Linked DNA regions of Oryzias latipes. The protein of the gene in region 1 purifies or fractionates together with the protein of each later gene. This does not show direct contact. Links are inferred from orthologs where the notes say so. Each region holds a gene or a part of one and is shown on either strand. Other genes may lie near its edges.

What was found. Proteins that work in one complex are often made in the same cells at the same time.
Region 2: the proteins of psme3 (region 1) and psma1 purify together in Homo sapiens (affinity purification with mass spectrometry; 5 studies listed by BioGRID and IntAct, with this or other methods). This does not show direct contact. The link is inferred for Oryzias latipes from reciprocal best matches to the Homo sapiens genes PSME3 and PSMA1.

What each region holds. Positions count from the first base shown.
Region 1 is NC_019877.2:17,754,936-17,765,318, forward strand, and holds psme3 (proteasome activator complex subunit 3), read right to left. Parts: upstream 5,640-10,383; 5' UTR 5,521-5,639; coding exon 5,479-5,520; intron 4,513-5,478; coding exon 4,480-4,512; intron 4,370-4,479; coding exon 4,307-4,369; intron 4,161-4,306; coding exon 4,056-4,160; intron 3,975-4,055; coding exon 3,926-3,974; intron 3,844-3,925; coding exon 3,725-3,843; intron 3,566-3,724; coding exon 3,429-3,565; intron 3,315-3,428; coding exon 3,260-3,314; intron 1,734-3,259; coding exon 1,647-1,733; intron 1,573-1,646; coding exon 1,492-1,572; 3' UTR 996-1,491; downstream 1-995. Other genes in the region: nbr1 (next to BRCA1 gene 1 protein), read left to right, coding at 10,294-10,383. UniProt on the Homo sapiens protein: Subunit of the 11S REG-gamma (also called PA28-gamma) proteasome regulator, a doughnut-shaped homoheptamer which associates with the proteasome. 11S REG-gamma activates the trypsin-like catalytic subunit of the proteasome but inhibits the chymotrypsin-like and postglutamyl-preferring (PGPH) subunits.
Region 2 is NC_019864.2:7,541,217-7,551,713, forward strand, and holds psma1 (proteasome subunit alpha type-1), read right to left. Parts: upstream 6,698-10,497; 5' UTR 6,526-6,697; coding exon 6,523-6,525; intron 5,684-6,522; coding exon 5,639-5,683; intron 5,538-5,638; coding exon 5,436-5,537; intron 5,199-5,435; coding exon 5,095-5,198; intron 4,018-5,094; coding exon 3,929-4,017; intron 3,766-3,928; coding exon 3,695-3,765; intron 3,606-3,694; coding exon 3,476-3,605; intron 3,327-3,475; coding exon 3,247-3,326; intron 3,172-3,246; coding exon 3,067-3,171; intron 2,448-3,066; coding exon 2,385-2,447; 3' UTR 2,182-2,384; downstream 1-2,181. UniProt on the Homo sapiens protein: Component of the 20S core proteasome complex involved in the proteolytic degradation of most intracellular proteins. This complex plays numerous essential roles within the cell by associating with different regulatory particles.

The sequences.
Region 1 (10,383 bases):
ATTGATTTTTTTATCAGCAACAATTTAAAGGGCTTTCTGTAAGTAAAAAAGAAAAGCTAAATTTAATAAATTTGCAATAAGCGAATAGTGTATTTATGAGCTAAAAATTAGCAATCATGAGAGTATGTAAGAATACAAACCCTAATAGATAATTCCTATTGATATAATAAAGAACAAATTAAGCTTCAATTTTTATTTTATCACCCAGTACCACACTAACAACCTAAAAAGTAAAGATAAAAAATAGAAACAGAAATTTATAAATGGCTTTATAAATTGGCTTTTTTTCCTTTAACTTATGAAGTTTGTATAAAAACAACTTCATAATTACAAATGAACATTGGATTAAAAAAAAATTAAATAATTTTCACCCAAAGTTCAAAACAAACCTGCACCTACAAAAAGTCAATATTTTTATCCTCAAGTCATTTCAATTCCTTTGAAATAAAACACAATAACTTGATTAAACTAACTATATGTACATATTTACATAGTACAATTTTTGTGTCATCAATTGGGTCAAATGTTAATAAATACGTAATAAGCTAAAGAAAATGTTTTGGATGTGTCGTAACAATGATCGAGTCTTTACTAGGCATTATGCTTCAGATCCGCTGCCAAGCTGGGGTTCTGAAGGACAACGTTTAATAAAGAGCCAACAAATTACTTAAAAAATGCTGCAAATGTAAGCATTATTAAAATGGGAAAAATAATTTTAGCACATGAAACTATATTCTGTTCTTGATTTGTCCTTTGCAGTGTTACGGAGATTCCTAAAGTTTAACTTCAGGGCAAGGATGGACTTCTTCCTGGACAAGCCCCCAGAAGAAATCCACAAAGTGATTTATGGATCTGCTGGAATTGGTCAGATTTTTTAAAGTAATTCCCGAAACACGAGGCACTGTTGTCACTCCTCCATGGTTGTCGATCATTTTAAGGATTTGATCAGGTCTTACTTGGATGGAAAATCTTTTTAAACAAAATAAAAAATTCAGGACCATACGAAGAAGGATTTTATTCAGCACTGTGCCAACAATGCGATGCTTTGGTGGCAGACATTTCCACTAAAAAGCCTCAATCTGATAAGCCTAACGAGTGCTCTAAACTCTAAAACTCCAGACCCACTTTGTGTTGCAGTTCCTCGTAAAACACCAGAGGCTGGACACAAGACAAAATGAATTTGCTGTTGAGACATAGAACAAATATGACAAACAGAGGCACTATAACAGTCTGAGGACGAGAAATTTAATTAAAATTAAAAAATACATAGCGCTTTATGATCCATTACCTTGGAGGATATTTAAGTCTTTGAACGGTTTAAAACAACAAAATATTTTACAATTAGAACAAAAATGTAGCTTTGTTTACATACTGAACATCTGATTGTATTGAACACGATGAATGTCTTGAACTTTGAGAAAAAAAAGCCAGGCTACTGTAGTTCAACATCAGGCATAACACGAGACTGAAAGGACGGGGCGGCGATCTCCATCAGTACAATGCGTCTGAGTTACTGCTTCTTGGCCTCTTGATCTTCTCAATATTCTTCAGGATCATGTCGTGCAACGTTACCTGGATGGAGAAACAAATGTGGATTATTTTAGCATCAGAGCTGAGTGGAAAGTTTTACCCAGGCGGCAACATACGTATTGATTTCTGAGCTCTGATACGATGATTTTCAGACTGATGTACTCCTTCTCGTCAATTTCTGTTACCGTGCGCCGATAGTCCTCCTGGTTTGTAAAGAGGAAAGATAAAATGACAGAAGTAATTTATATTAAATAACTGGTTAATCTGGTTTCAACTGCAAGTGGAAACAACAAGGAGTTAAGGATATTTGACTTTGAAGTGATGCTAAACTGTAAAAATATCCTTGTAATCGTGAAAGTGATGCATTTATGTAGAAGTTTTTGGTGTTTTTAACATGTTCTTGTGCCATTTTTCTGATGGAGGCCATTAATAAAAAATATCAAGATTAAAATTTCCTTACTGAGTGTTTCTTGTTTCAAATTGTTGTAAAACAGAAGCCGTTGGAGAAAGCTTGTAGGTGTGACTTAGAAGATACGTTGGGCAGGCCACAACCTCTCTGCTCTGCCCCATTCTGATTAATTGTAGACGACTAGATCCATCTACATCTTTGATTTTCCTCGTGCGAGCCGGCATCCAGCTCAAAACTGTGCGGCTGGATAGCTCCAATACTGCTCGTCATCTTTGTTGCATGGGTAATGTTAGGTTGGGGGGCGTGAGGGGCTGTAAACTAGCAGGAGGGTATGTAAACAGATAGGTGACGGGAAGTGCGGGCGTACTTACTCAGTGCCAAAAGTCCCACCTACAACTCAGAGGGGAATTACTGCCGCTCTGCAGACTGACTTTTACAGTTCACCCCAATAAATCAAATCACAACTTTGTTACAGCTAGACCTTGTTTTTTAGTCGAGATTTATGGAATGCAACTAATCCATCTATTGCTTTTTAATGAGTATTTTTTAGCAGTATGTATTCCACTGCTTTTAACTGCTTTTAAGCTTGAATTTTGCTCTGCCAACAGGCTTCAGGTCCCTAGCAACAAGTGTTTATTTATTTAGCTAAATAATGGTAAATGGCGTATACTTATATAGTGCTTTTCTACCTTCTTCGAAGGCCCAAAGCGCTTTACAGTCACAAACTAACAAATAACTAACTGATAACTAATTAACAAACACAAATGAATCAATAGGAAGTTTTGTTCAATTTTGTTGCTAATGGGAAATGGAATCAAAAATGTTCTGTGTGGCTCAGACTTAATGCAGTACCTAGGTTTGGCCACCAGATATCCTCATTGTAACTTTTAAAAGCATTTTAATTTTTTTCTATTTAGTTAAAAAGGAGCACCAGAACTTCCTCACTCCATCACTACTTTTCTCAATTATGCATTTCTGTTATTTAGAAACTACTGATCTGTGCGGTGCAAATCTGTTTGTTTTTTTATCAATAACCCTATCTTCCTCTGAGCTTCAGTGCAAAACTCCTGATACATTCTTAATAAGTAGCTTGTAACAAATTGCTCAAAAAAATTACAGGAACATGTTCAGTTTTTAGTGAAGGGTGTTTTTCCAAATCAATATTTTTTTTAAACAGCTAGTTACAGAAATTAATTATTAATCCCTAGCTTTCCAATGACTATTTTGAAATGCTTCTAAAAGCATCCATTTTTTTACAGCAACAGGAACAAAATACCAAACCATTTTCATCCACATCCCTACTGAAGGACATTTACTTACCACATGCGGATATTTTGCTATTTTTGAAACCAGCTTTGCTCTCGTTATGTAGTACCTAGAAAATGAGAATAAAAGAACATATTCAATCAAAACATGACCAAAAAAACCAAAACAACTAAGCACTGATGCTACAAAGTTCGTATTTTGCTCTCTAAAGTGTTTGATTTACCTCGATATTTGGTCGAGGTAAGAGGCTGCCTCTCCTTCAACTGTTCGGAGTTCGGCTACTGTCTCCTCCTGAATTGAGACTCCAAAGTTGTTGCCATCCTCTATCCTTGGGATGAGCAGCTGAACCCACATTTTGACCTGAAGATTGAATTTAGAGGAAAAGACAAAAACAAAAAATGTGGGTTGCCAACATTTTTTCACCCAGTTTTTTATCATAAGACTTCAGATCAGGGCCAATGCAGAGGTGCCTGTAGACATTTAAGCGTTAAGACATTAATACATGCAAAGGCAACTTACTGTGTTACATTTCTCTATGAGCGTCCTGATCTCCGGCTTGACCTTTTCTATGAGATCAACAAGATTCCCATTGCTCTTCATCATTCCACCAGGCATGACAAAGACTTTGGTTCCGGTCACTTGGAAATAAAAGAAAGTTAAGTTAGTTACCAGGCACACAGTCCACTCTGACATGAGTTTGAAAATGAAAACAGTCCTTACTTTTGTCCTCTCCACTCCCATCCTCAAGCTTCCTCTTTTTGGCGTTTTGCTGTGGAAAAGATTCCCCAAAATTAGAAGTTTTTCTACACAAATTAGTTAAAAGGAAGTGCTGTAAAAATCCACAACTCACTGCCTCCAGTCCGTCGTGAAGGTTTGGGATTAGGATGGGGTCGGGTACTGTCAGGTTAATCTCTGAGTGTATGTCTTTCAGCTCAACAATGTTTATGCTTGGATCCTGGGGGGGGGAACCAAATTTGTTCTTTTTTTGTAATCAGATTACACTTTTTTTTTTTTTTACTGTGCCAACAGTAGTTAGAGTCAAAACTGTAGTTAAAGAAAGTTTCATACTGAACAACTAAGATTACAAAGGATAAAACATACCTTAAGAAAAGAATCAAGTTCCAGTAATTTCTTTGGAAAGAAATTTGCAACTAGATCCTCTGCCTAAGAGAGAAGCAAATAGAAAAAAACTTTAATACTAATACTGTTCTTTAAAAAAGGGGGTTTAAATAAAAAAAAAATAGAAAAAAAAGTATTCCAAATGCAAATCTCACTTCTGCTGTGATCCGTTCCCTGAATGCATCAACCTGTAAAATAATAAATATTTAGACAAAAGTTCAGCATCAGTACATCCCACGAACATGTGTTTCTCAGTGAGAATTTATTTTCTACTATAAGGTTAGTTGAAAAAATAAAACACAGCCATAATCGATTTTCATTCTTCAAAGTTTAATTATGTTATGGATAAAATTTACAGTAAAATAACGATAGATTATTTTACTATTATTATTTTTAAGATTAAAGAATGCAAGTAAGATCAACTTTTGATTAACTACATACTTTTATATGATCAAAGCAGTTTTAAGAAGAAAAAAGAATCAATATTTCAGTAAAATAAAACAGATTTAACATAATCTAAAAAGCACATGTTTCTTTAATCTTGCTATCATAGATAGAAACGTACATATAAAAGCTACAGAAATAAACCATAAATATTACTTATAAAAGGTTTATATTCATGTGCACCAACACAGACTAAACCTTTTTTTTAAACCTAAACTTATTGTAGTTATTTCTTTAGGGAACTATTATATTATTAGAGTCTCTAAATGAATAAGTCTCTCCGTAGTTCGCATTTTTTTCATTTGCTTAAATTTGATAAACGACACGCTCTTTAAAGTTAGTTTAAATACTGATCAGGGCAACAAGGAGTCGATATAAAGTTGTAGCATGATGACGCCGGTGGGTCGGTTGTAGCTTAGCCACAGTGGAGGCTAAGGCCTTCCTGACATGTGGTCTTCTGTCTCAAACTATCAATTAAACATAACAAGCACGCAATAAGACGTTTAATTCCACCCATTTGAAGCATTTTACCAGTCTGTCGCAGCACCTGTGATAAGTTTTGACAGATAAATTGCAGCAGGCGGGAAACATACCGGTTAGACATTGCTAGCTAGCGCTAAAGCTAACCAAAGACTCCACAACATGCCGCAAAATGCTAGCAGGCTAATTCCCACAATAACACGCGCAGGGGCCGTTCAGACAAACATCACCTTGGTTTTAATTTCACTGTCCACTTTGAGGAGTGAAGACATCTTCTGGGATCAAATGTAGATAGGACGTTTATCCCAGCAACAATAAAGTCTCCTGTAAACGTGTGGCTTCTTGCTGTCAGCCACACTTGTGTAGCTTAAAGATGACGTAATTACGCGACAGTTGCACTTTTTCCGCCAAAATCTTTATTGATAAACCGTTTTTACAAATGTAAATCTTCAAAGTTTTGGAATCCATCTTTTTATTTTTACTTCAGGATTATCATTATTGTTGATGTTGTTGTTATTATTATTATATAAAAATATTTAGAAAAGTCTTAGCAACAATAACGGGAATTGTGCCTTTTATGCGCACAAATATGTATTGTATATAATATTACCAAACATTGCGTACAACAGTATAATCAAATTGTTGAAAACAAGTATTGGCAATTTCATTTTACTTTGGAGATGCAACCAGAATTTGAGAAAAACGTCAATATGTTAAAATATAGAGAAATTTTTAAAAATAAAAAAATACCAACTTGTTAAGAATATCCTCTATAATAAAATGATATTGATAATCTTTAATAACTAATGTTCTATTTTCCCTGTAATTCTGTTATCTCTTCATACCTAACAAATACATTGGCCTGTGTCTAGGTGAAAAAAGTTCATTAATGTGGTGGTGGAAGATTTGTTAATTTTCCAGTACCTAGCTGCAGAAAAATAAATAGCAGACGGAATTCCACTCCGGAAGCAAAAATCGGTGGCTGTGTCCAGATCCACCCTTATCCCTGACTACTAAAAAACGATATAGTGCACGACTAAGTAGAGCCCTGGATTTTAAAAGCAATTCGGACACCATACTCACTCTTTTTTTAAACGGCGTATATGATGTAATCGATTTCACAATGTGAAAATCTCATTGATATGAGCATTTTGCGACAACCATTTATAAATCCACTGTGTTCTGAAGATGAAAACGTTAAAATTTATTTTATAACATACATTTAAATACATCTGCTTTTCAGAAGTTGTTCAAACGCAATGCATTGTGACCTTTTGCAGTCACTAGCTGTTCCAAAGTCAGAACTCCAGACCCTGAAGTCCAGGGGCGGGCAGGTCATCACAAATGTCTAACCCCGCCCCAAAGATCAAAGGCTCCTTCAAGAGCCAAAACAGAGAGGGAGAGTTTTTTTTTTTTTTTGTTTCACAACATTAAAAAGGTGCCAAGACTTAAAAACACCCTGATAAAAGGGAGGCAACCTACGTAAATTTAAAAGCTTGGTGTCCATTAAAAACAGTGACATCCACCCTCAGACAGCTCACACATTTTAATATGCAGCTAGCCAGTTCCCTCCACATCAAATTCATTGGCCCAGTCAAAAACCTTTGCAGGACCTGGATCCTGGAGGTGGCAGTACTGCTGACCAGGTGCACTAGGCCCTGTCCCCCCTTCTCCCTAGGTAGAAAAACATTCCTTGTGGCGCCCAGTGTAGACTGTCCCAAAAGAAGTTGATTAGCTGCATCTTCCCCTCCAGTTTGTTGAAAACATCCTCCCAGTTCTTTTTGACCATGGCAGGACCATCCAGAAAAACGTCCAGGCACTTTACACCATCATTCTTCCACATGACATTTGAAGGGAGAGCCCGGAGACCGTCCTGCCACCTTCCCACGGCAAGGGCTTCAGGCTTGTGCCAGTTAACCCTGGCAGATGACAATTTACAAAAAGCAGGTATTGTGTGCAGCAGTACATTCACATCAGCCTGATGTTTCACAAAAACAATAACACCATCAGCATAAACTGATAAAAAAATGTTTCCACTGAAACCAGGAAAACACAAACCTTCAAGACTTGCACAGATCTCATGGAGGAGGGGCTCCTGGGAGAGAGCGTAGAGCATGCCGGATATAACACAGCCCTGCCGTATGCCGCAACCTACGGTACTCTAAAAGGAGCACACAGACTGCTTCTACCTTCAGCACACTCTCCATCTCAGCATAAAATACTCAAATTTTAGCAATGAAACCAGTGCTGAACCCAAACTTCTCAATAACTTTACAGCTCTGTTCAGTCGAAAGTCTTTTCCTGGTCCAGTGAAATCAGACCAGATCGTAGACCCAAAAGCTGAGAGACTTCCTAAACATCTCTATTTAGAAAAACGTTATCAACCATGAGCCTACCTTGGACACAGTAGGTCTGGTCCCGGTAGATAACCTGCTCCACAGCATCCCTCAGCCTATTGAAGAGAGCCCTGGATAAAATCTTGTAGTCTACACACAGCAGAGAGACGGGTTGCTAGTTCTTTATGTCTTGGAGATTTCCTTTTTTTGACAAGAGAGCAACAACAGCTCTGTGACAGGACATCAGAGAGCCAGAGAGCAGACAGTCATTGAATACCTCCAAGATTTCAGGAGCAAGGATGTCCCAGAAAGCCTTGTAAAACTCCACAGTGAGGCCATTGATCCCAGGAGCCTTCCGGCCCTTCATGCTCTGAAGGTCAGCATGCAGTTCAGGAAGCAGGAGAGGCCAATCCAGCTGAGAGTTCATCTCCTCAGACACTTGAGGCAGTCCACTGCAGAACTCCTTCAACAGGCTGCCATCATCATCACACTCACTGGTGTAAAATGAGGAATAAAAGTCCACAGCCAGTGTTTGGAGCCCAGCTTTCCGTCCATGCTTTCTGCATGTCGTCATACAGCAAGTCATTGGCTCGCCCAATGTGCTCTGGTCAAGTTCAAACAGCTCCTCTCCTGTGTCACACAATAAGGAGTGCATCACCTTCATCTGTCCATGCTTCTTCTCCAGACCAAAAATAAACTAGAGGGAGCATCCATTTCAGAGACATCCTGAAACCGAGACTGAACCAGTGCCTCCCTGAACATCCAGAGTCCCCCTTCCTCGATTTGAGGAGTTCAATATATCCTTGATTTTCAGTGGACTCACTCAAAGATTTCAAGCCCACCATATCAGCCTCCAAGTCATTAATAAATCAACAGTAATGTGAGTGTACTGCTGGCACAAAAGCTTAATTTCACTCTTACCACCATTGCCAAAGAGAACTAAAACGTTTTGTCTAAGATGGGTCCAAAAGAACCTCAAAACATCCTTAAAACCAACATCAATCGTTAAAACCGAAATAAAATGCCAATACGCACTTCTTGATTAAAAATCCTTCACATAGAAGACCCAAACCACAAGAGAATGATCAGTAAAAGCAACATGAAAGATGTTACAGGATTTAAAAACATTAAAAAGATGCTTAAAACAATAAAAACGATAGACGGGTGAGAGTCAACCTGCAACCTGCTCTGGAAACTGGAAATTTTGATGGTCAAAACACCACCATTTACACCACATTTCCTGGAGATTTATGATACTTTTCTCTTGCCTTAGCACCTGTCCAAAAATATGTTCATAAGCGTGACGCCCCAGTCACATGTGGGAGGGGCCACCAAATGTTTTCAGCCTGATCGCAACATGGAGCAGTGTCTGTCTATGTCATTACAATGCATGGAACACATGGAGGAGCAGTGACGTGCAGTGAAGGTTGTGGCTGGTGAGGCACTGACTCTTTCAGAGCCAGAATTAAAAACAAATGAGAGGCCTATACAAGTCATTTTAGAATTGGAGAAGATTGTATGTACCACCCATCATATTTCAACTTGTCCACAAACAAAATGCTATAAAGTTTTTTCATTTGTCTTGAGACCAAATCTACAAAAATTAAGAGAAAAGAGTGCTTAAAAAAAAAAAACAATCCGTCTGGAGCCCCTCGTATGATGCCATTTTTTCCTTGTCCCCTCCTAATGTCGAAATTAAATTTTAGGTCCACCATGACAATTTTTTTAAACTCACCCAGTGGTGTTTTAATTATGACATTTTTATCCAACATCCCATAACCTAAGTGACTTAAAAAGCCATATTTCATGTCCATCTTAAGCCTCTGTTTCCAAAATCTCCTACATGCCATACAGGCAATACAAACTGACAGTGTCTATTCTCTACAAATGTATCATTCGCGGTGGTTTTATTGACAGTGATTTAAAAGGAGAAATACTCAAAAATGCAAAAATTATTTTTTTTTCATTACATTTGCTCTCTTTCATAAGAAAAATGCCACCAAAAAATGCCCCTCATTGGAGGGGGACTGTAATAAAAGATCCAATTAATTTAAAATGTTTAAATTATTTTTGGTATCTTTTAAATTATTTTAAATATATATATATATATATATATTCTTTCTCTTTCGTCTTTTCCCGTCAGGGGTCGCCACAGCGAATCATCCTTTTCCACCTCACAAATATATCTATATCTATATATATCTCTATCTATCTATCTATCTATCTATCTATCTATCTATCTATCTATCTATCTATCTATCTATCTATCTATCTATCTATCTATCTATCTGTCTATCTGTCTGTCTGTCTGTCTGTCTGTCTGTCTGTCTGTCTGTCTGTCTGTCTGTCTGTCTGTCTGTCTGTCTGTCTGTCTGTCTGTCTGTCTGTCTGTCTATCTATCTATCTATCTATCTATCTATCTATCTATCTATCTATCTATCTATCTATCTATATCTATATATATCTATATATAGATATATATATATATCTATATATAGAGATCTACATATAGATGTATAAATATAAAATCAATATTAAAAGCAAAGCAAAAGCATCGCCTACGGAAGCGTTGCCCTCATTGCGCATGCGCCATACGTCATCGTATTTCTCTCGACGCAGCTGACGATGTAAACAAGACATTCGAGGGCAGCGGGGATCAAACAGGCCGGTGTCTCCTCAGATGCTCTGAAATAACCGCATACCGCTGCAATGGGACTCCCCGTTACGATTAAAGTCAATTTCCGGGGGAACGTGAAGCGGTTTCTGGCTCAAGATCTGGACAAACTGGAGTGGGAGTCC
Region 2 (10,497 bases), on another chromosome or scaffold:
AAAACTGATGTTGTGGCTCCTGATGACACTCCCCAGGGGAAGCATGTAAATGTTAAAAAGCAAGGGGCCCAGGATGGAACCTTGAGGCACCCCACAATTAATTTCATGGACCCCAGAAAAATATGTGTCCATGCTTACCATAAAGCTTCTCTCCATGAGATACGACTCGAACCACTTGAGAACAGTCCCTGAAAGGCCAAGACTTTTAAGTCTGTTTACAAGGATCAGGTGATCAACAGTATCAAATGCTGCACTTAGATCTAACAGAACTAGTACTGAGATCTGACCTAAATCCAAGGCACACCTAAGATCATTAACAATTTTTAACAAGGCTGTCTCTGTGCTGTGGTTCGTTCTAAAGCCAGACTGGTTTATCTCAAAAATGTTGTTTTGTAAGAGAAACTCGTTTAGCTGAATAAAAACGAGTTTTTCTAAAACCTTACTTAAAAATGGCAAGTTGGACACAGGTCTGTAGTTATTAAAAACGGAAGGGTCTAAATTAGTTTTTTTGAGTAACGGTTTCACCACTGCCGTTTTAAAGGCAGCAGGAAAAATACCCGTCTGTAGAGAGGAGTTCATGATATTTAAAATCTCACTCTCAAAAGACCCATAAAATGATTTAAAAGTGATGTAGGGATGGGGTCTAAAAAACAAGTTGTTGGATTAGCTTGGGAGAAAACTCGACCAAGTATTACAGCACTTTGGTGAACCTTGTTCTGTTTAAAGTGCTTTATAAATAAAGTTGAGTTGAGTTGAGTTGAGCTTCAACCAGGTCAAAACTGTCCAGTGCTTCCTCAGGTAAAATCAAGCCAACATTTCCAATAAAAAGGCTTTTCTGTCCTTTTATGATGTTCACTCTGACAGAATCAATCTTGCTCCTGAAGTGGTCTGCAAAGTCCTCACACAATGAGGCGGAGGCTGGCATTGTGTTTTTGTTCACATTTGAGTTAATTAAAGATTCAATTGTGGTGAAGAGGACTCTGGGGTTATTTTTATTTACAGAAATGATGTTCGCAAAATATGAATTTCTGTTCTGTTTTACTGTTTGATTATATAGTTTTAGTTGGTTTTGGTATAATTGATAGTTTATTTCAAGTTTGTGTTTTCTCCAAAGTCTTTCGACAGATCTTCAACGTCTCTTCAATTGTTTAATTTCCTCATTTCTCCAAGGGTGCGTGGGTTTGATTCTTAGATTTTAGAGGAGCAACTGAGTCGAGACTGGATTTTAATTTACTGTTAAAACTTTCAACAAGTAGATCACAGGGGGCCGGTAAGACAGGTGGAGAGTTGGAGCGAACAGATGTAATAAATTTTTCGACCACTTCAGGAGTCAAGTAGCATTATAATATATACAATATGAACATAATAGGAATGTGGGCGTGGTTAACAAAAAATATTTGTTCCCACGACAATCCCAAAATTTACTTTTGTAGATTCTTCCAGTGATGAAAGTGAGGCAATGGAAAAAATCCCTGAACTTTTCTTTGAGCGATATGGCGGGTGCGGAGCGAAATTTTTGAAAAATACATGGTCTTAGATGAATTCTGGTACATTCTGGCAGCTAGTTCTTCACTTCTTAATCAAGAAACTAAGACTAATTGGAGCTTCATGATTTGTCATTCAAACCCCTAGTTTGACTTGCCATTAAGGACTTCCTGGTCCTAAAAAAGAATTTGGATAATTGCTAAAAGTAACACAATCCTACAATCTACGCTTTTCCTTAAAGCTGCAAAACATACAATTGCTAAAATATAGTAACATCAAAACCCCCAAATGGCAAAAAGAACACCAGTAACTATGATATTCTATGAAAGTACCTCATTTATTTGAACGATTTCTGCTTTAGAAATACCGTTTTCTCAAACTATAATTACATCAAAATAAGGGATCTGCTTTAAACTATCTTTCTATAACATATCTTCTCAAAATTAAATAGATCTGTTTGTCAGGAGACCAAAAACTAAAACGCTTGCTATGGTAAAATACTGACAGAGAAGTCACTATTTTTGAAAAAAAGAAGAAGTGTTTTTTCAGTAATTTCTCCATGCGGGGTGGCAGTGAAGACGGTGGGTCGTGCCTGCGGGCCTCACTATGCTGCTCACGGCTTTAATTTCCATTTACTTTTCCTAAAACATCCTTAAACCCGTGTGTTTGTATTCTAGAAAGGAGTGCACACAAAACTCAAAAAAGACAATTTATTACTTGTATGATGGTGAACTTTGACCCATACAAAAGAAACATCACATGTTGATGTCAGTAGAGACTATTGTGGAGAAACAGTGGCACATTAGGACAGCTTCCCTCTAGAGGAAATTCTCTGTGCTGCAGCAAGTCTCAGTGGGTTCGGGATGGACAGGATGCGGATGTGGGGTCGAGTTCCTGCCTCAGTGCTCCATTGGCTCATCGGGAGCGTCTCCAGCAGGAGGATCATCAGCAGGCTGGACAGCCTGGAACACAAACAGAAATGTGTTACATGGTCACCTGTGTTTGCATTGAGCTCGATTCCCTAAGCAAATGTGCTGCTTGACTGCCAAAAAGCCATTTATAAACTAGATGTTCCTGCAGCGTGTGGTGTGGGAGGAGCTACTGTGTGCAACTTCCAGCCTGGAAGCATTGACAGAATATCTCATTTACAGTGGAAGACACGGCTGATGTTGAGAGATCAGGTCGATTCCTTTTAAAGAGTGTCTGTGATCCCGTCTCCATGTTTTGGGTTCATTCAGAGACTCTTCCACCATCTAATCTGAAGGACAGACGATCTCAGCGCTTCTCTGTGACCCAGTTTGACGACTTGCTGTCTCGCTTTAGTCCGAGGGGGTACAAAATAAAAAACGTTCAGGATGAAAATGATCAGATTCTCGTCCATGTTGGTTTTGGACTGCATCTTCATCAACACCATGCAGGCTAAAGCGGAGTCCCTGATTGGCTGACGTGCTCAAAAGGCACACTGACCACTCTGAAAGTGGACGCTCCTGATGCAAGAATGGTGTTTGGTGTGAACGTAGCTTAAGATGCGTAAACAAATAGTAGATGTTGATGGTGGTGATAAGAAGTTCTCTGTTGCACCTTTCTCTGTGGCCTCTCCTCCAGTCCAACCAGGAACGGAGCAACATCATCGTCATCATAGATGGTGAACTCCATTTCTTTTCCCACAATGCCAATGGAAACATTCTGAAAGGGAGTCTCAGGTTCAGAACATGCATAAATGCTCTGTGACACTGATAAGGGGGCCTTGGGGCTGCGTACCTTGGTGGTCAGGTCCTGCTCAGCTGGAAGAGTTTCTCTGAGGGCGCGGAGGCCATGTTGGACCAGGTCGTTCAGATTACCTGACGACAGAAAAACATTCATCAGTTTCATTTCAGACTAATCTTTTCATTGAAGGATTGTTTTAAATAGGAATCATCAGAAACTACAGACGTTCTTTAGGTGTTGCATCTGAACATGCTGAAGGAGAGAACTCCAAACTCAAACCTACAGTCAGAAAACTTGTCCATGCACCTCTCCAGGTACGTGCGTGCAGACTGGGAGCGCGCTCCGATGGACATGGCTTTGCAGTCAAAGTAATTTGCTGATGGACAGGTCTGGAAGATGTGAGGTCCCATGTCCTGAGTCAGAAAAGAAAAAACGGTTAGCTTTAGGTTTTTTTTTGTCTGAATGTAGAGAGAAATAAGATTAAAACCATGAGCGTACTCACATCATAGCCAGCAATGAGGAGTCCCACTCCGTAGGGCCTCCTTCCATACCTCTGTGTTGGGATTTGGGTTTCTGTAAACTCAGTCAAGGATCACTGCTGCCGTTTCCATTTCTGGAAGCAATCTAACAGAAAAGACCCAACTCCTGGTTGTCCAACTTAGTTTTACAAACTCAGCTTTTTCTTGTTTCTTGTAACGTAGCTCCTTGAACAGGAGAGTGTATTTTTAGAGGATACTGCTGCCGATTAAAGACACGAGGCGGGATGTGGGGAGAGGCCTGTCGAAGACAAATCTGGAGTCCAAGCACTCCTGACGCATGAAGTTACTGCAAGACAGAAAAGGTTTTGGTCTTCAGACAAAAGGCCGTTCTCAGGTTCGTGCTCAGCACTTGACTGTAGATGCTGCTAATGATGAGGCCAACAGCAAACATTCAGCTGCTTCTTCATCGTTACAGAACAGAGCTCCATACTGCAACGTTTGTTTGTTTCCGGATTCTGTAGTCCGGGCAGAGAATGAGAGCTGCCTGTTGGTTGTTTCTCATTATTAGAGAGGAGAAAAGTGAACTGGGCTCTCATCGGCTCTACAGGCAGTTTCCTGATTGGTTTTTCTGCTAGTCCTGTAAAAACACTGTCACAGTCATCAAGTCCACTAAACGTGAATGCATCAACTAGTTTCTCCAAGCTCTGTTCAAGACATCCGATCTTTAATACTTGAACTATTTTTAAGATGTTAGTCTGCAGATTTGGTGACTGCCTTAATGCATTTATCAAAACATAGGACTGTATCCATGACTACACCCATGTTTCTGGCCTAGTTGGTGGTTTTTAGATGAATAGATTGAAGCTCTATATGACATCAAACCACTTCTCTTTAGCCCCAAACACAACAAAAAGTGTCTATTCATCATTTTCCAAATATGTGTTTCTGCAGCTCATCGCTTCTCCAGTGGATGGATCAAACGCAGAGAACACTGTTCACCAATCCAGGAGCGTAGCTTTAACTTTCATTTTAAATACGACAAAATGTAAAAATGGATGCACTTAAAATGCGTGCAGGCAATGCGCATCTTGGCTGCAGTTTTTGTGCTGGTTGCAAGTAAATACATGCGAATAACATCAGCCAAGGCAATAACCTCAGTTTTGTGTTTGTTCAGCTGAAGTAATTGAGGCACATCCAGTCTTTCATATATTAAATACTTTTACCAAGAGCTTGTAGAGGGCCTTGCTCTCCTGTGATTTCTATATCTGTTTGTCATCTGTGTAACGCCATAAATTAACCAATGTTAGTGTTTAGATGTACAGTTGACACCCATGAAAAGTGACATTTCTCCCCAAACACAAGAAGTTTAACACAAGAAAACATGGAAAAAATGTTCAGGTCCATGGAAGTCGCTGCAACTCACCAGAGCAGCCGAGCGTCCGCCGTCAGTCCAGCAATGGAGATGCCAATGTGGTTATCAACATGAAGGATCTTCTTCTGGTGGGCAGCCAGCTCAGACTGGGCTCTCTGCAGACCAAAAAGGCACAACAGTAATGTGTGGTGTGTTACAGATCTTTAACGACATGTTTTAATTAATAAGAAAGACAGGAAAGTGCCGGCTAGTATGAATATTAATGGGTGTAACCAAACACTGTCATGGAGGTTAAGGCTCAAATAACACTAAAGGAGAGTTGAGCACGTGAAAAGAGCCGTTTCAGCGTAATGGAGGCTGGCAGCAGTTCTAGTCGTGTTGAGTGACGTTACCTTAAGTGCAACCAGGACCGCGTGAGTTCTGGACTTCAGTCCGACGGTTGCAGAACCTTGTTTCACAGCCTCCATGGCATATTCGATCTGATGAATGCGGCCCTGCGTTTGCACCGACAAACCAAACAGTCAAACTACACACAGCCGGACAAAACCAACACACAAACAACAACACACGCTCCAGTAAGTAAAGGGCAGCTTACCTGAGGACTCCATACCGTTACGTCGTTGTCGTACTGATTGCGGAACTAGGAGGGAACACAAACGCGCGTTATGATAATAACACAGCATCCTTCTCATGATCTACAGCCAGGCTTACATAGTTGTCCTGCATTAGTACGGTTAGTGTTCTCGTCTCTAGACTCCAAACCAACTGCACCGTGTTCGCGGTCAGAACGTCTCATAAGGATTGGAAGGACGCGTTTCAATTACTACAGACTGAATAATTAATCAACCTGTTCGTGTCATCCTCAAGAAAAACGATTGAATCCAGCAGTGGATGCAGCAAACCAGCTAGCTACCTGCTGCTTCTACTAATTTAGTTCGGTTCTTATTATCTGTAATAAAATCAAATGATTTAATATGAATATCATCATCATGATACGTGAAATGATCCCAATGGCTGTAACTCCATAACTGACGGACTACGTTGTGTTTTTAAATCTAGAAGAAAGCGAAGAGCTGAAGAAAAACGAAAGTGAAGACATGACTGGACTCCCGATGCTAACTTTTAGCTAGCTGTTAGGATTAGCTTGTTCGCAACAAGGTATTCCAAAAATATTACATTTCTAATCTGCTATTTGCAATGTTTTCTCACTATTAAACCTGTTTTACTTTAACAGTTTAAAGTACTTAACTAACTTCTATTGTTTAGAGTGAGCTAATACTTAAAGCTAATGTTAGCGGCTGTTTTGCTTACTCACAGTGCAGACCAACTTAGCTAAGCTAACTTTAGCATGGAAATATTTTAACAATTTCTTGAGGCTTAAAAAGTAACAGTTTAGGATCGAATGCGTTTTCTTACATTCCTAGAAACGTTTTCTGGTACCGAACGGAGGATTTGTCGTTAAATTTCCCTCACACTTACCATCTCTGCTAAAGTCTCGCTTCCTCCGCCTGCGCCGGGATCTCGATTTAGTTTCCTGGGTTCCTCGGCAGACGGCAGGGAAAAGCAGCAGAAAGCCGATTTCAAACGATCGATGATTTCAATGATCGATGCCTTTGAAGAGCCGAACAGAACCAGCAGAGCTATAGAATAGAGCAGAATAAAATAGAATAGAATAGAATAGAATAGAATAGAATAGAATAGGATTAAAACACAAACAAACAGACTCGTGGTTTAAATGTCAACATAATAAACAAAACACAAGTAATACGTCAGAATTAAAATACTAGTTAGACAATTCTTCTAAACTTTAAAAATATAAAAAAACGTTACTAACCTAATGGCGTCCATACCAGTTAATAGACTAATTAAAAACCATATTATTTAAAATATTGTGTAAGATGCTTAATACTTGGGCAAGACACTGAACCCCCACTGAAATACTTAATATTAATAATTCTTTTCCTTATTTTTTCCCTTTTTTTTCCTTTTAAACATTTTTTGGGGTACAAAAACCATCACTTTAAAAACAATAAACAATAATTTCACAAGAAACAAATTCTATAAAAGTCTTTATGGTCAAATAGTATCTAAAGAGTAAATGTTTTTCTATCAATTTTGATGTTTAATATTTTTAAAACAAGCATGTCTAGTTGTGCAACAGTACTAGGTTAAGCGTGAAACATGCATGTCTTTACCAAAGGAAAAGAAAATCCAAATGTCACTGCACATGCTTCAAACCAAAGATTGATTTCGGCATCTTATTCTGCAATGGTGGTATTTCATAATTTACTATCTGGACCACATGGTTGAGATGTGATTGTGCTAAAGACACTGATTTAATGACAGTTGTATCTGGACATGAAGAAAACTGTTAGTAGTTTTATTGTTCTAAAACTTTAATCAACTAAAACAAAGATAAAAAACAGTGCAGCAAACCTGCAAAAATCTGCAAATAAATAATAAAGTTTTGCATGATTTTATATTGTTTTCAGTCTGAATATTTCACCCTCTGGTGATTTTGTAGGAAGTTTGTGTTCAATTACTTAACGAGCTTTCAGAGCAGACAGGTTAAATTCACATCATTTCCACATCATCCCTGTAGTCTATTTATTTATTTGAAAGCTGATCTCTGAGGTGACCCCTGAAGGGATGTGCTGACAGGCGAACAACAGCAGCAGCATTTGTCATATTTGTGTTATAGTCACCGTTTACCCCGCTGCGGTTTCTTTACACATGAATTTGAAGAAGGAAAGCCGAGAAATGGAGAAAGAGGTTGCATCAACATTTCTTGGTAAAAAGAATCCTAAATAAAGAGTATTGAAGCAAAACAAAACAAAACAATGTTATTAATTCCAACGTCAGGGTTGACTGTTTCTTCATTCAAGTTTGTATTGTGGTAACAACTTTTTGGGGGGATTAATTTATTGATTTTATCTTCTAACATGCAGATACAATTCCAGCAAGGAAATACTGTTTAAATAATAAAAAATAAATAAATAAATAAATAAAAACATTAAATGACATCATAACAATAAAAACGAAAGAATGAAAATATTTCTAACAAAATGTGGGCATGAGTTTATTAAAGCCCACCCCTTTTCCATTTTCCTGCTGTCTTTACACTTCCATTGTAAATAAGTATTTTCCTAAAGTAACAAATAATGGAGGAATTTCTCAAGTGCGTTCATGCAGTTTGTTGAAAGAAACTATAATCCTTTAGCACATTTAGATTTGTGCAAAAACAAATCTGTGTTTGGATAGGCTAAAAAACACAGTTACATCTTAAGGAGTAAGAATTACTCTGAGGATAAAAAAAATTCTACATTACTTAAGTTTGAACATTCTTTTTTATATTTTTCTTTTACTTCAGTCGTTGTTTCCTTTGGCTCAACTATGGTAGTGTCTTCAGATGACCACTAGATGGCAGCAGTCAATTGGAGGTGTTGTTTGCATGCTCCCTGCATTTTTTTTTGGGAAAAATGTAAAGATTTAGTCACAAACTACCATCTGATCTACACTTTGAGTTTCAGGTGCATTTATCAGTTTTTAATCTCCAGTAATTTTCACATTGTTTTAGAAAATGACCTAGAAAATAAAAAATGTTGACAAAGGCATGAAAAATCTGTGTCATCATTCAGTCACAAGAAATGGCACGGTTTTGTGCTTCAAGTTGTTTTTCTGCAAACATATTGTGTGTTTGCATTTATGTTGCTTGTCTTGTCAGCTCAGATAAATCCGGTTTAGCCATAAAAAGGTAAACTGCACCTTATTGTGCTTTTGTCTGCGCTTTCAGAGAGATCAAGTTAACCTGATGAGAGGCTTTTCTTGTTTGAATAAAGCCAGTTTAAAAGAAAACAAAAATATCAATACATTATTTAAATGCTGATTAAAGGAGAGCTTCAGTTAGTAATTTAGAATCAACTCTGCCTGTCGTAGAGTGTGACATGTTTGAAACATGAGCTGTGTGTCTGTTTGTCTGGTTTCTCCTCAGCCACATTTCCACTGATGCCACTTTATCAAGAATCCCTGAGGAGCTGCTCAAGAGACTTTTAAAGTTGACTGATTTTCTCTTTAACTATTACAAGTTTTCTAAAATAATGTCATTATTTAAATTGAGAAAAGTAATGTTATGGCAATAACACAGCATCCTCAAGCATCAAAGTTGATGGCTGGATTAATTGAAAGTTAAGTGAAAACGCTCTTCAGTTTTTTTCTCATTCAAGGTGATGCCAAATGAGGGGGGTCAATAGATGAGCCACATACGGCGTCATTCTTCTTTTCTTTACTTCCTCAAAAACTATGTAAAACTACAAAATGAATGAACTCAGTCGGGGTGGGATTATATAAACTTGCTTCTTCCAACTCTTTTTCAAGCATTCAATAAATCAAGCTCTGCTTGAATTTAGTTAATGATCACTATATTTAATTAAGAAAATGTGACTTAAGTGTGTCTTTGTCTTTCTTCCTTTTTCATCTATGCTTTTCATCATTTCTGTCAGGAGTTTGATAAATATGTGTGATTTTTTAAAATGTATTGACTACAATTAATGCTTGAAATAAAGAAAAAAAAATCGAATCTTTTCCATGAACCGTGTTCTGATTTATTCTGATGTCAGGATCTTAATGCTGACAAAGTTTCAACCATGGACACATGACGGACACGCGTGGGGAGGGGAACGGGACATTTCAGGCGGGGACTTCCAGCTTTCGGCGATCCCTCTTATTAGGCTCCACTTTTGATCCTCTTTTTCTGTTTCTGTTGTTTTCCATAGACAGTGCCTCTGCCCCTCCACACTCCGTTGATGATATCTGATGTATCTTTGATCCAGGAGGGGGGGAACGTGGAAAAGAGGAGGGGTGAATTAGTGAGACTGTGCTGACGAGATCCGCTCCTCTGCCAAGGCAGCAGCGGCGGCAGCAGCAGCAGCACGACGGCAACCATTACATCAACGCTCCAGCAGCCTCCTCCTCTGTGATTAAGATTGTAGAGGCTGTGCTGAGCTCAGCAGGTTTTTTTCCCCTTATTAAACTCTGCCAAAGAGCCCCCCCCCCCACCCAACCATTTAATTTTTCAAATGGAGGGCAGCCTGAGTCACTGCATGATGCGTCCAAGCCACATTGTGAGCCCAAACTTGGAGGATTAAAGCTGGACTTGGAGGAGTGCCTTCAAATGTGCTTTTAGTGCACAGAATCCCCCCCCCACAGCCACACATCCTTCATGCATGCAGACACATGTTGCACTAAATCCTTCATTGCTAATATGCCTTTTTTTTTGTTTTTATTTACACGGGTGGGCTCATGTTTGGGGAAGGTGGCATCTTTGCCAAGGTTTGCATTCGTCTGGCAGCTGTTTTTTTTACATTCCAGGTCAGAGGTTAACTGCAACCGTGCAGCCAGCAAAGGAAATGAAGAGGTTCCAGGAGTCCGAACAGGGAACATTTGACGGCTAAAAGC